Caenorhabditis elegans: one gene and its partners. The protein of the gene in region 2 purifies or fractionates together with the protein of the main gene of each other region. This does not show direct contact. Each region holds a gene or a part of one and is shown on either strand. Other genes may lie near its edges.

Region 1 (5,142 bases), on a different chromosome or scaffold from region 2:
TCCCGTTGCAATGGTTTACGGATTACGGTAGATGTCTCGGTTCAGTTTGAAACGTTAAACAGTGTATTGAAATTACGATTGGCATCGGATTTGAACTTTCAGGTACTGATGGAGACATAATTTGAATAGATATTTCTAGAAATGAAAACCTTGCAGTTGAATATTTGAATTGAAATATTGGATATCAAGAAATTACAACATTTAAAAAAATCAAATCAAAATGGCAAAACATTCAGAGAAATGAGTTTGCTTGTATTACTTGGTTTTAAAGGCGCATGACTCTTTGAGATTACTCTATTGAAAATTTTTGAAACGTGAGAATTTCTAGTTCGCAAATTCGTAATAAATTTGATTAAAAAATATGTTGAATGTATCTAATTCACAGTTGCAATATTTTTTCTTACTATTATTTTCCATTGTATCTGAAAAATTAACAAGTTTCTCATTTTCATTACTACATAGTCATCGTGAAATTTCAAACACTAAATATATTTTTTCCAAGTAATTTTTGATTCCAATTCTTAATTATATTGATGAACAGATAGTTATTTTTGGGCCAGGAAAATAAAATTCAATGTAGCAATATATATTTGCATCAACGGAGCTCAACACCATTATATATCCTTATTTTCCCTGAATTGCCTTTATTGTGCTCGGTTGTAGCTACACTTGTAGACCCACGTCATCTGTCCACACCGCCTACTCGTTTGATCTTCTTTCCCGCGCATTCGATCTCTAAGTCACTCAATCTCCTATGCTATTTTAGTGAATCACGCACATGCAATAGCATTTGCTCACAATTGCAGACACTCAGTTACTGTGAGACAGGCAATATAATGGCCCTTCGGGATATCGAGTGTTGTCTAGAATGAGGTAAGTTGTGAGAAGATAGGAAGACAACGAAGTAAGATAAAGGAATTGTATTTGACTAAAAAATGAAATATCAATTTGATAAAAATATGTTTTGAAACTGTAAATTAATTTAATACATTGTTTTCTTTGACAGATCTTTGCATGTTCAATCAGTTTCTGATCTGAAACTTTCAGCTGAAAAGTATAGACGAATAAATAGTCAAATTTAAGTAAATTGATAATCTTAGATAGACCTAAAAAAGTAAAGTGAACCAATTCACGATTCGGTACGTTTCTGCCATAGAATACAACTCATTTCTTAAAATGATATAGAACAATACTTTAAAGAGTTATTCTAAAGAGTTCTAAGAGTTATTAAGAGATATTACTCTAAAGAGTTACTAAAGAGTATTCAATCTGAACCTTAAAGGAACATTAAAACTGAAGAAGATTATTTTGTTATTCGTTCTATCATTACTACAATCTTGCTCTTTTGATCTCTTGTCTCATGAGTATTTTGGTAGTTCAATCTGACAATTAACAAATTGTTATGCAGGATATTCGCAAATTTGGCAATCCTTATCATATCAATTACCGTCAAAGGTGGAACATACCATGTTTGAAACGAAATGAAGTCAATTGGAACATATAGAACGGTTACAGTATGCTCGATAAAGTATAATTTGATAAACTTTATTTTGTAAAACTATTGTATCAATCATCTACGGCATTAATCCTCAACCTTGAAAATAGATATGAAAGTAAAGTTGACAAGGCACAAAATTGGAACATAGTGATCGAAAATAAAGATATCTATTAATTGGAAATTGTTCGGCGAGGGGCTCTTCGAAACATTTACTGGGGTTTTATGAAAGTTTCTTCTAAAAAACATAATTTAAGATTGAGAGGTGCTCTCAATCAATTCAATATTTTCAAAGAAATAATCATATTCTGTGAAATCAACACTTAAATTATACATTTTTTCATATCTTTTAAAAAATGGAGTTGTATTTACAGGATTTAATGAGATTGTTGAGAGTGACGTCACTGACGAGCAGATATGTTTCAAACATGAACTAATTAGTTTCTAGTATAGTTTTGCCTAGTTTCTTATATATTAAGCAGAAACAACGGACCAGTTCTTCAGCTTCTGAGAGTAGATTATATCTTAGGAGCATACATGAGCACTGTATGTACCTTCTTTGTCTAACTTTCTTTGAGTATCTAAGTCTCTTCAGGTTCTATATCCATCATTCAACCAAATGACACTGCAGGGATGCCTATCTCCTGACTGAACCCACCAGTCGTCTCTTGCTCATATTCCTCCTACCTTCTGCTTCTATTTTCTCAGCGCATCTTGTCCACCTACAGTAGTAAATCTCCTCCCTTTCCTTACGTTGCATTATGAGATATCTCCCAATTTTTGTGTTTCTCGGATCATTTGGCTATACGGAAACTACATTAACAAAGGAACTTATCAAAGATGCAGCTGAGAAATGCTGTACAAGAAACCGTCAAGAATGTTGCATTGAAATTATGAAATTTGGGTGAACCGCTTTTACGAGCACGAACAATGCGATAATCGGTATAATTTAGAACCCCAATTCGATGTGGTTATGACAGGGATCCGAAGCTACCCGGATATGTCTACAAATGTCTTCAAAATGTGTTGTTTGCAAAAGAACCAAAGAAAAAGATTAACTTGGATGGTGAGCGTTTTTTTTTCAGGTAAAATTCTCCTCACAAGCCAAGATATCAAGTTTTGTTTATTCTTAAGAAATATAGGAAATGACTAATACGGTATGTACAAGTTAGTTTTAACTTGAGGAAAATCGAGAAACCGGTGGCATAGCGCCCGCCCGTGAGGTCATTGATTGGCCGGAGGCAGAAAGACCACACGCATTGAAAAGTCACAATATCTTTTCTGCCTCTTTCATTCGTATACTCTTTGGAAATTTTCAATAATTTTGAACATTTTTTTTTTAATATTCTTGCCTCAAATTGTTTTGAAAAAAATCAAAGTAAATCATCAGAGGCTTCTCTGATTTCAAAATAATAGTTAGAACGTAAGTAAAGAGAGAGCGTTTGAAATTTTTCATGAGTAAGATTATTATTACTACTTATCTTTAACTATTTGAAATTTAAAAATGGCATGCAATGTATGGGAGAAATATTTGAAGAAAGCGCCCAAGACTTCAAGAATATCTGAATTTGAGGAGTTATATCACAAAAACTGAGCCTGCAACCTATACTAAAAAGTATACCAAAACAAAGATAAAATTAAAGTCTTTGTTTCTGAGTATTTATTATCATTTGAAAAATTATTTAATAACACGTAAAACGTCTTCAAACTAACCCCAATTTAGAATGTTCGCGCTCTCTCTTGCTGAAATCAATTATAACTATGATAGAATGATTATTCGAATAATTCATAAGGGCTATTATTTTTTCACTTTAAATTATAAAACGAATACTTTACCAATTTTGAAACAAAGTTTCTGCCAATGTGAAATTAAACTGGAAATTGAAGTTTCACCGCTAAGTTCGAAAGCAAATGTTGGGCATTTCCATAATCCGAGTTACAGCAGAACGAGATGTTATCATATAGTAAAAAAATTGTTCAAACATTTTTCGATATTTTAGAAATTAGAAAAAATGCAGTACGATGACGTAGACAATGGTAAGAGGAGGAAGATAGTGCGTATGTGTGCGCAGAGAGGTACAAGGCTTCGGGCATTGGGCAGTCGCCACCATACGCTCGATCGATATATTCAAAGTCGGTCAGGCTTTTAACAATTTGAAGCTTACTGATATCAGTAAATTTGTGATAAATGTCAAGGATACCGTGTCTTTGAAGCAACTTAAGCTCTCTATAGTTTCCTGATTTGATTTCACTTCAACATACTACATTTCCAGTTATTGATAACACTTATCAACTAGCATTTAAACATTTTCTCATATCTATAATAATGTTTGATTTCCTGTAAATAGTTTCCTCTTCCATTTCGAATTGTAATATTTCCCTCAATAACATTGGAACCTTGTTCAACTAAATAGGGATCACTTTGACAACACCTAAAGCATCTACAAAAAATTTTTGGTAATGTAACAACCAAGTTTTCTAAAAGAATTTGACATGCTCTATTTGTTAGAAAAACTTTTTGATTATGTTTCAGGCTCAGTTTTTGAGATATTCAACTCTAAAGTTGCAACTTGTTCTAGGTGGTCCGTTCAATTGTCCTAGGGTTGTGCAGGCAATTGGTATTGCGCAGGGAGAATAGACGGACCCTTGTGTCTTGCGTACCACCTGTCATCATGTTTCGAGAGTAGATATTCTTCAAACCCTCAAACTATTTAGAAATATATTTTTTAGCCTCAAAAAGTTACGTTTTTCGTTCAGAATTCTATTAGGGCTACGTTTTAACATAAGTTTTAAAATAGGCTTCTTTATTTGTTTTTGAGATATTCATGGCCAAAAAAAAACTTTACAGTATTGAATTTGGCTCTAATATTTTTCAATACTTGTTCTCTACAATGTTAAAAAAAAATTAATTTCGCCTACTCATTTGATCATTTAATAGATTTATGAAAACATAAAAATTATGATAACAATGTCTTTGAATTCTCTGATAATGTTCATAATTTGTTTTGATCTTTCTCGTGTTATCTCTCCAAGATAAAAGAGTGTTCTACTGCGAGCACTGATACCATATCTTTGCATGTTTATCCTTTTATCAGTTGACTCACTCTTTTGTTAGGTGTATTGATTAGATGGGAGACTCCCCTGCAACAATTGTCCTACAGGAGCAGAGCAGTTGCTTTTTTTCTTTTGACATCTTGCATTTTTCGTTAGAAAGAAAATATTTAAGTGCCGCCGGGAGCAATCTGTTTTATTTACAAATATATCAGAATGCACGGCATCAGCTAATAAATATTGAATAAGTATTTTCTTGTTCTCACCCCTGTACAGTTTGCTTTTCTATTCCTCATTACACCTCCCAATCCAGGTGTGCTTGGTCCTTCATCTTATTAGATCTGCCATACGGTATAGGAATTACGATCTACAGTCGTCATAAAAGAGTCCGCAATACCGTCATGTGTGTCGAGTTGCAACAAAAGAGTATATGGGAAATGAGAGACTACGGTAAATGAGAGATACCGTAGACGAGATATAATGTAAGAGAGTGGTAGATCAAATGAGATGAAAAACGCGTCGATTAGGTCCATCCAGGAGAAACTAGATTGCGTAGAGCAAACATAGCTGTTTTGACGGGAACAATGTTTTTTGAG
Region 2 (5,142 bases):
CCGATTCCACCCATAGCCTGCTCAATAATGTATTTCCACGTGGCAGTGTCCTGAAGACGGCGGCATTTTAGATGAAGCTCACTGAAAAATTATATTTTGATTTTATTGATTTTTCCTGAATTATAATCTCACTGTTGACTATTTGTAATAATGAGTCCTGTCGGAATTCCTTCTGTTTCTTTTCCTCCAGCTGCAACTTTGAAATCACGATCCATTAGCAATACCATCCGAATCTGCTCAGTTCGATGATCCATATATGCAACAAATGAATCACGAACCATAAGCCATCTGAAATTGTTTTTATTAATTTTATTTCGATAAAAACGATAAAAGGTGTCGATTTTCAGATTTTTCGAATTTTTGGATTATTACTGAAAAAATCGAAAAATTTTGACCAAAACTTTTAATAACCTTTTACTCCACGGTAGAAGATATCGTACACAACATTGCTTCCATCCAAGGAACACTCTCGAACCTCCAGGACGTTTCTTGACAAATCCTTCCGTATGTTTTCCACCAAGCTCATTGACAAATGAATATCTCGAAACCTCCAAAAATTCAGCAGTTTCGTGATGATTTCTGTTGATCGGAATGTGAAGAACCATTTGGAGCCAGTTCTCGAGAAGCTCTTTACGATGCTCCAAATTTGTTACCATCGAATCAGGCATCATTGGGAAACGTGGAAGAGTGTGCCGATCCTTCTTTCTCTGTTGACGTCGCTGCCGTTTAGGTGTTCCTTCGGATGTATTAGCCTCATTGACAGTTTCATCGAGAATTCCAGATTGTACAGCTTGCTGCATGTGAACTTCCTTTTTGAATGCATCTTCTACTTCTCCAGGTGATTCAACTGATGCTAGTGGAGCAGATGTATTCTTTGATTCTTCAATTCCATCCGAATCACGCTTCAGAACTTGCAGCTGTAAATATTTAAACTTCTTTATAAGATAAAAAACTCTTAAAGATACCTTCGGATGTCTCTTCCGTTTAGAGCTTTGATTTGAGTATGGACACTCTGGCTTGTGATCAGAAATAATATCAATACCCATATGCTCCAAATAATTATCGAATCGCTCTTGTGTTCTGAAAATAAATAAAAATAGCAAAATACATTAATTTGCAGTTATAATTTCATACAAAACAGTCCAAAAACAAGCCATTCAAGTCTAAAAATAAACAAAACAAGCACAACAGCGTGTAGAAACTTACTCATCCTGAACTTTACCACGAAATCTGAATGGGGGTTAGTCTTAGGTTAGCGATGGGGTGAATTGCAAGAAAAAAAGCTTCAAACTTATTATAAAAGGTGTAAAATGAGAAAATTAAAATAAAAAGTGGCAATTAATACCTTTTAATTGGTGCCATAAATTGTTCACGAGCACGATGTGCCATGAGACGATTGTTGAGAAGTGTGAAATCTTTGTAGTTTCTGATGACGCTCCAACGAAATTGTCCATGTTCCAGCTCGATTGTGTAGCTGAAAAATGTTGATTTTTCAATTTTACTTCAAAATTCTCTAACTCACAGAAGTGTATTAATAAAGTGAATTCCCCGATCCGTATTTCTCTCGACTTTTACAATTTTCGCGTTAACCGGAACTCCTGGTATCCAATATCCTCGACGACGAGCTTGCTGTTGAGTATCATAAATTGACATGTAGGGAATGATTCCTTAACCAAACACGTTTAATATGAGTAATTTTTAAAGTAATAATACCTTTTCTTCCAGGTGTTCCGGGAAGAGATTGCTGTAAAGCAGCAGCAACACAGTCACAATATTGGATCTCATCGTCATCAGAACTATCATCACTATCACCATAATCCAAGGACTGTGGAGAGGATACCTGAAAGATAAATATCTAGAGTTAAAAAAGAAAAGTTGCACTTACCTCATCAATGTGAACTGTTTTGCTGTCTCGTCGGACATTAAGGTTGCTTGGCGGACTGTCTGCTCTTCCCTCGTGTTCTCGGAACCGAATTACAGCTTTCTTTTGTTTATCTGAAGCTTTTGTTGCTGGCAGGAGTCCTGGTATACCACGGTCATGCATTACAGATGAGTCGACTGAAAATGAAAAAGAAATTGGAAAATGTTGTTGACTTTGGTGTGTTCAAGAAGAAACTTTTTGAAAAGAGAAGGAAAAGTGCAAAATGTATTTATGAATTCCTTGTGATTTCTGATTTTCACGGAAAAACTAACCTGAATTATTTTCAGTTGTATCTTTCGGTTCCAGATGACCACTTGATGTTGTCTGAGGCCTCCGCGACTCTTCATCTTCGCTCTCCATATTTCTGTCTTGACTTTGAATGGTCAAAATCAGACCGGAGTGCGGGTTTTCTCCCTGAAAGAATAAAAAGCAAGTTTCTCAGAGTTAATATTTCTTGGTTTCGTAATCTTTACAAGTGCGAAACATGAAAAATGTGATGAATCACTGAACAAACTGTAGAAGTGTGGAAAAAAAGAGAAAGTTGGCTGTGAAATGGCAAATTGGTAATAGGAAATGAAGAAAATACTGTGATTCATCTTGAAAAAGGTTCAATTTTTGTAGTTTTATATTTTTATCAGTAATATGTTTGAAAATGTGAAAGAAAAACACTCCTTGAAACAAAATAAAATAAACAATTAAATTTTTTCGAAAGATTCCAAAAAGTAGTCTACCGTACTATTTTAAAGGCGCATGCACATTGCCAAAAAATTTTTCTGGTTCGTTGCGAGACCATCGGCGCCTTTTGTAGAGAAACAAAAATGTGTTTTCGATGGAATTTATTCGTTGTTGTTTCAATTTTGAAAAAAAGCAAAAAATGCAATAAAAAAGACATCAAAATTGCAATAAATCATATTTAAGAATAAAGTCGATTTTTTTTCGAGAAAAATACCACGAAATTTCCTCGAAATTGATTTTTAAAATTGTTCTTTGCAGTTTTCTCCCATTTCGGGGACTTCAGAAAATTTAAATCGAAATTCACAATTTTTCAAAAAACCTGATACAAGAGGTTTTTTGTGTGGTTTTTATTCTTGACGATTCAAATGATAAAAAAAGATAAACGGCAAAAATCTTTCATATAATGTGAGAAAATCCCACGCGGAAGCAACTAATAGCGGAGACGGGGTCATTCGCGCACTCTATCTTTGTCTTGTGCCTCTCCTACACCAGTTATGTCTCTCCACATGCATTTTTACTTTACTTCTCTGCGCCATCTCTCCGGCGCCCGTTCTTTTAATCTCTGAGGCGCTTGTTTACATGAGCCAGAACCATTGTAAAACCACATTATATTGATTGTTCTTCGTGTGAATGTGGTGATATTTGATGCAGAGAAATAAATGATTTTAAACGAAAATTACTGGCTACAACTAAATAAGTGGCAGGCCTTAATTCGTGCGGGAAAAACAATGCCATGTTGATTTTTTTAGAATTTTGAAGAGGAAAACGGAAAAATGCCTTGCATTGAGTATGATATGAAACGCGAAGATGATAAGAAGAAGATGAAAAGTTGGTTGGTGGAAACAAAAAACGTGGGCAAAGAAACATGTAAACAGCTGTTCGTTTATCAGTTCAGAATTTATATTGAACACATACACCTAGGTAAGACCTTAACATGTTGGTTGTGGCCATACTACAGATCCTAATAAAGTGATAGTCATTGTTAGATATTTTGTTTTCCAGAGGCAACCCATGGAGTACCTAGTGGCGTAATTCGATTTAAAAAAGTCTGATTTGATCTTTGGGTATGTAGGAAACCCGTAATAAACCCAAATCCATACCTTCTACGATTTGAGATCATCCACGAATACAGAAATCGGTATCATTCGCACATTGAAACAGGATATTGAAGCGATGTTGCATAACACTAGACCGATATAAAATGAATTGTAGTCTGAGGACATTACAGGGACAACATGATCGCCTTCCTTTTATTCTCTATTGTTAAAGTCGCTATTACATGTATCCCAACTCAAGAAGTTGAACGTAAGTTCTTCGCAGTATTTTTTAATTGATGGAAAATAAATGTATTAGCTAAATATTTTTTTGAATCTTGTATCGTAAAGTTATTGAGAAAATTATTTAGAAACCTTTTATATAAGAACACTGGAATGCCTAGAAAGAATGTTGCATAGTAAAAAATTTGTGGCACAACTTGCTTTAATTTCAGCTATTGACCCAGTCAGCACTACTACAACGACATCTTCTACAACCACCACAACTACTACAACTACAACGACGGAAGCAACTACAACAACTCTAACATTAGCTCCGAACCGTAAGCGTTTCATGAAAAGCTTCTAAATTTTAAAAATTCGAAATTTGTTGGAGTGTATGATAATTGATGATGTGAGATCACTGTGAGTATAATTAAACTACCCTAAATCACTTTCTAGCCTGCACAATGTGTGCTCCAATTTACAATACTGGATGCATGGGAGTTGGAATGCCAAGTCCCACAGATTGGTGTGTTATTGGAGATGATATTCCCGTTACTTATTCACTTGTAGATGATGGTGCAGGACTTATTAGTTGCGAGTGAGTTATCATAAATGTTTCACAATGCCCTAGTGAACACTGCTTTATATTTTAGAACGACATTACAATGCCCAACTGGAACATTTGCTTATTTTGTAGCAGGAACCGAAATGCAAGGAAGCAACGGAGGCACTGATTCATACACAGTCAGCTGCGAAGAATCGGGTGGTTTTTATATTGGAATATGGCGGTTAGTAATTGGTGGGATACCTACTCCAATTACTCAAGCAACATGCAGAAACATGTAGAAGTGCACAAATATTGATGGTACTTTATGAAAGTTTCAAGATGTTATGGTTCAATATTTCTAAAATTATACAAGATATAATAAATATTGATATTGATGTCTATTATGTTCACTTGGAACTAGACCGCACTTTTTTGAACTGCAAAAATTCAAAGACACTAAACATCATTGCTTGTTATGAATCGAAAGAACAGGATATCATTTGGTGCGCAAAAAGCTTGTTGCTGCTTCACCTGTCCGACGCTTGATCAAAATTTGTTTCCTTAATTTCATCGGCGCTTTATGCAGGTGTAAGTTAATTAAACTCTATCCATATTTTGAATCGACTAACATTTTCAAAAAGTAAGGTTGCTGGCAATATGCCAGTGCAAAAAGGATGCAA
Region 3 (5,142 bases), on a different chromosome or scaffold from region 2:
GAACAAAAAAATACTTTATAAAACTTATCGATTCAAAAAATCTAAATGTGACAACTGCGAACCCTGTCTGGTGATGAATGCGTTCACTCAACGGGAGGTTAATCCGTCCCTATAATCATATAAACGGTGTGTATAGGGGGGTATTCTGCTACTGCTGACTGGCTGGTTCTATTCATCGTTTCACAACCAATGAGCATTAGTGACGTAATGCTACCAGTCATCCACGTAATATTTCCACAAGATGGGACCATTTGGAGGATATTACATGCTTATGATGAGTTGCACAACTATAATTACTGTACTAGAATTGAATTCCTCAAGTTTAGTTCAAGGAGACAAAATATTCGTTTATTATCCATATTGTATTTTATTTTAGTTTTTCAGTAAATGAATATATTTGGTCTAAAATTAAAAAAAAAAAAGAAGCCGCCGAAATTTTGGTATTTTTTTGTGTTATAGGTACGCCAGAGAATAAAGATCCTGATTTCAATAATTGTAACAAAATATTTGTGCAATTCAGCTATCATGTTTTATTCGTTATAAAAACTTGAGATTGTTAACGTAACTTCCCCTTTTATTCAAATTTTGCTTGAATAGTTGCTCAGTCAGCAGAGATAGTATTAGGGTACAGTAAGTATATAATTGGATTACTGTAGTTCCATTAATTGTGCAATTTAGGTGATTTGGAGAGGTTATGAATTGGAATACGTCTGGGAATAGTATCAGGGTACATTAGAAGCACTGTAGGATTACTGTATTTTCAGTGTATTACGTGAACACTGAGAATGCGCATTGAGCAACATGTTCGACGCGCAAAATATCTCGTAGCGAAAACTACAGTAATTCTCTAAATGACTACTGTTGCGCTTGTGTCGATTTACGGGCTCGATTTTAGAACATAATTTATTTTCGAATTGTGACCGAAATATTTGAATTTCATCCTATTTTTCTTTTTTCTGTCATTCCGAGTCAAAAAGTGAAAAAGAACAAAGCAAAATCAGACCATGGCTACAGTAGTAATGTAAATAATTTCTGTATTTTTCGCTACGTGATATCTGTGCGCCAGACAAGTTGCACAATACGAAATTCCAGAATTTAGTTTTTCCGTATTAAAAATTTTTGCACATAGTATAACGCCTCATGTGTTAATAAATTACCCTTAAAAATTAACATTTCTTGTCCAAATTGAGGAAAAAGATCATTTTCATACTTTCATATTGTCATTATCAACAGGTGAATATAACATAATAATTTACTCCACGACAAAAAAAATGGTGAATATGATACTATAATACGGAAAAATTGAGGAAAAGCAAAACAGTGTTCGATACGAAATAGAAGAGAAGCGAAATTAAAGGTTCGAGGGGAAGGGAACGATGAAAACGAGATTTGTGTGTAGGTTTGTGTGCAATTACGCGCAAAAATCACAAAAATAGAATAATGGTTCAACAAGAGAAGAGAAACACGTTCATACTTCTTCTCGTTACACAACACTGTTTCAGGGAATATTTGAGGGAGATGGAGGGCGGAGCAGGTCAAAAATGGAGAGAAAAACAATGAATAACTTACATATTATTCCCGTCAGGAGCGGTTCCAAATGTAATCGGATAAGAAAAAATGTCGGATTTGGAAGTTAAGAAGAAATAGACGACAAATGAATTGGGGCTTTAAATAAAAATTGGGTTGAAAAAGTAGAAGAGGGCGATGGTGATCAAATTAAAAAGCCTAAGGGATGGGAGAGGGAATTTCAAATGGAACAGAGAAGAACAAAGAGAATGAATGGGGAGAAGAAAGGAGTTGAAACGAATAACAAAAACGGATGATTCGTAGTCGTTTATTCGTCGAAGGTGGATTCAGAAAAATGATTTAAGATCTATTCTTGAGCTGGTTGCTGAGCCAATCGAGTCCTTCATAGAGACCATCTCCTGATGTCGCACATGTGGCCTGGAATTAATTTATTATTGAAAAATAGTGAATTTCTTTAGTTTTAAAATATCAGATGAGAAACTGCTGATTAAAAATATCTCACCTGAATATACCACGATCGATTTCTGAGCGAGTGGAGCCCGAGCTTGTCAGTGACCTCAGCGGCGTTCATGGCTTGTGGAAGATCTTGTTTGTTGGCGAAGACCAGAAGAACGGCATCACGAAGCTCATCCTCGGCGAGCATACGCATCAGCTCTTCACGAGCCTCTCCAACACGTTCACGATCGTTGGAATCAACAACAAAGATAAGTCCTGCAAGAAAATATAATCAATAGAGCATTTTTTTTGGACAGTCTGTGAATTCTTGCGGGTGATAAGCTGATCCGCAAACTATTCTCGTAAATCACTAACCTTGTGTGTTCTGGAAATAATGCCTCCAGAGTGGACGGATCTTGTCCTGACCTCCGACATCCCACACGGTGAATGAAATGTTCTTGTATTCGACAGTCTCCACGTTGAATCCTGAAATATGAATAAAAATTATGACTCATTGTGAACCGTTCTTTCGCAACAAAAAAACGTCCCAATGACTCACCAATAGTTGGGATAGTCGTGACAATCTCGCCCAGCTTCAACTTGTACAAAATCGTAGTCTTTCCGGCAGCATCCAATCCAACCATCAGAATACGCATCTCCCGTTTGCCGAAGAGGCCTTTAAATAAGCTGCCGAACACGTTTCCCATTCTATAAATTGATTAATAAATTAAATTATTGAATTTCAGAAGAGGAACCGATGGAAGTGAAAAGGAACGCTAATAAAATGTGAAAGCTGAATCAATAATCTTCGTGGGAAATTGCGAAAAATTCGGGAAGATTTCAAATCCAATACGTGAAAATGCCAGCAACGACAATCGGAGAAAAAAGTACGGAAGACGATTGGAAGGAGGAAGAATCGGGTAAAACGTGGCAAGGAGATGGATATCTATAACAGGCGCAAGGAGCGAGAATCCAGCAGAAATACATCGGCTACACCGTCCAACGTGTCACTAGCACAGCAGTCTCTGGCGACCAGTGGAGTGTCTCTTCCTCTCTCAACCTCTCGACGCTGCTTTTTGTCTTGTTCGCTGGGCGCGTCGCGTGCGTTGCGCAGCGGTCGAATAAGAGGAGATAGATGGCAATAAGTGAAGAGACCGAGACGTGAAAGTACCGCAAGAGATGAGGAGAGAGCGAAAAAGAACAAGAGACCGTCCAAATTTGTCCGCTAGTGCAGGACGGAAGGATGAAGAACACATACACACAGGAACGAGAATAGTAATGTTCGAGTTCCTTCTACTGACTCCACGTCAGCCGTACGTTGAATCTTTCAATCCTTCAGTGAAATCTTGATTGATTGATTGAATGAACCCGAAAGTTCTAAAATTTGAACTTTGAAACAAACTTTTTCGAGTGATAAGACGATAAACTGCAACATTAAGAAAGTGATGAAAAATGCTTTTTGAGAGAAGAAAAACCTATTGAACGCGAGCGCATTGTTGAGAAATTTTGAAAATCGTGACGCAATTAAAAACTCTGAAAAAAGGACACGTGTCACAAGAGTGCAGCACGAGATACTGTGACTAATAAATAGAATCAGATGAGAAAATTAATATTAAATCAAATACAAAGCGCCAAACTTTCTAAATAGATGACCCGCATTTCCGACTAAAGCAATGTGGCGCTTCTGAAGAATGTGCTGGAGAAAAATGAAAGCTTAATAGAAACCGGCCGCCGCAGACAGTATAGATCAATGCCTTTGCGCCAATCTAGGATAGTTCATCTTTCCGCCTTTCAAAATGCCGAGAATTTCTTACTTTCTGCAGTAATTATTAGGAGTCACAAACCTTGATTTTCGAGCTTTTTGCGTTCAAATTCGGAAATAAATGAAATGACGATCAAATCAAAGATAAAATGTGACGATTGCAACGTCGAAGCAAGAAAAATTGGAGGAATAAAGTTAAGAAAGAACAAAGAAAAAAAAAATTAAAATCATTTATTTTCTGGCAATTCACGGCTAAATACGACGAAAACACACCGGTTTCCGCAAAAATACCTGTGTTTTATTGAAAATTAACTCGTTTTTTACTCGTCACTCGGGAGGGGCTCTTTTTGTACTCGTTCACTTTTCAGTGGCCCGTCTTTTATTCTTTCGCTGATTTTTTTTCGAGATCACAGCCATTATGTATTCTTTTACTTTATTTTTCTCATTTAGTGGAGTTATTGCTCTCTTTTGCTCTTTTTTGCTGGCTTTTTCATCAATGAGATATATCGATAGAAATAATGCAAACAACAAAAATGAACGAAAAAATAATGGGAACTTGTCAAGGAATCAGGTAAAAATCAATAATCATTGCGATTCTGAACAGATCACATGACAAGTTCTTAGCCAAGAACAATAAAAAATGAAGATGAAAAAGTATTGCCAAATGGGCAGTTAAACTGAAGACAATTAAAGAATGATAAGAGAGGAAATGTGATAAATTATAATGGATATACAATAGAAAAAATCGAAACAGTTTCTGATAGGCAACAATAATAAACGGGAAGAAAAATTGAGGTAAATCTGAGGTTAAATAGGCTAACCAGCCAGATAACTAGAAAAGTAACCATTTGGAAACAACGAGTAAGATCACCAAGACAATATTTTGAGATCAAAGTTCTAATATAACTAGGACTAATCATTTAGCAGGTCATCTTCTTCGTCAGACTGAAATCTTTTTTTAAATTTAATTTTCAAGTGAAAACCAAGTTACCTCAAGATTGCTCGGAATTGCAGCGAGCAACTGGTCGGCAGACATGTTCGTATCAGTTGAAGGGATCTCCTCGATTCGCTCCGTCTTCAATTCCATCTCGAGGTCCACACCATTCAGAACTTTGCCATCCGCCATTGCCTAAAAATTAACATCTTATTTAAAATCGAGTCCCGTTTAAACTGAAAACTCACTTTCAACGCATCACCTGTTTTTCTAAACGGAAAAACGGCTGTTATGAGACCATCGTCGTCGGCTTTAACACTGTGATCAAAAACCTCACCGAACTTCTCCATATGTGCCATCAAATCAGTGACCAATTCATCCTGGAAATAATGTGTTTTTAAAATCTACAATTTAAAGAAAACTCACTGTTACACCTCGAACGATGACAACACTGCTCATTTTAGATTGGGGCTCGTCTCCATCG

The links.
Region 1: the proteins of pld-1 (region 2) and her-1 fractionate together in Caenorhabditis elegans (co-fractionation; one large-scale study listed by BioGRID). This does not show direct contact.
Region 3: the proteins of pld-1 (region 2) and arf-1 fractionate together in Caenorhabditis elegans (co-fractionation; one large-scale study listed by BioGRID). This does not show direct contact.

What each region holds. Positions count from the first base shown.
Region 1 is NC_003283.11:9,694,873-9,700,014, forward strand, and holds the start of her-1 (Protein her-1), read left to right. Parts: upstream 1-2,142; 5' UTR 2,143-2,256; coding exon 2,257-2,399; intron 2,400-2,448; coding exon 2,449-2,561; intron 2,562-5,142. UniProt on the Caenorhabditis elegans protein: Dictates male development. Probably plays a direct role in cell signaling during C.elegans sex determination. Inhibits the function of tra-2a.
Region 2 is NC_003280.10:5,089,356-5,094,497, forward strand, and holds the start of pld-1 (Phospholipase), read right to left. Parts: upstream 2,336-5,142; 5' UTR 2,282-2,335; coding exon 2,194-2,281; intron 2,059-2,193; coding exon 1,886-2,058; exon of another isoform or gene 1,841-1,885; coding exon 1,714-1,840; intron 1,668-1,713; coding exon 1,523-1,667; intron 1,475-1,522; coding exon 1,346-1,474; intron 1,081-1,345; coding exon 966-1,080; intron 918-965; coding exon 412-917; intron 289-411; coding exon 133-288; intron 82-132; coding exon 1-81. Other genes in the region: C04G6.2 (DUF281 domain-containing protein), read left to right, coding at 3,892-3,961, 4,146-4,253, 4,372-4,513, 4,569-4,761.
Region 3 is NC_003281.10:5,713,643-5,718,784, reverse strand, and holds arf-1 (ADP-ribosylation factor 1-like 2), read right to left. Parts: upstream 2,671-5,142; 5' UTR 2,670-2,670; coding exon 2,522-2,669; intron 2,449-2,521; coding exon 2,338-2,448; intron 2,239-2,337; coding exon 2,030-2,238; intron 1,945-2,029; coding exon 1,867-1,944; 3' UTR 1,241-1,866; downstream 1-1,240. Other genes in the region: rbm-26 (C3H1-type domain-containing protein), read right to left, coding at 4,637-4,669, 4,716-4,853, 4,907-5,038, 5,085-5,142. UniProt on the Caenorhabditis elegans protein: Small GTPase involved in protein trafficking between different compartments. Modulates vesicle budding and uncoating within the Golgi complex. In its GTP-bound form, triggers the recruitment of coatomer proteins to the Golgi membrane.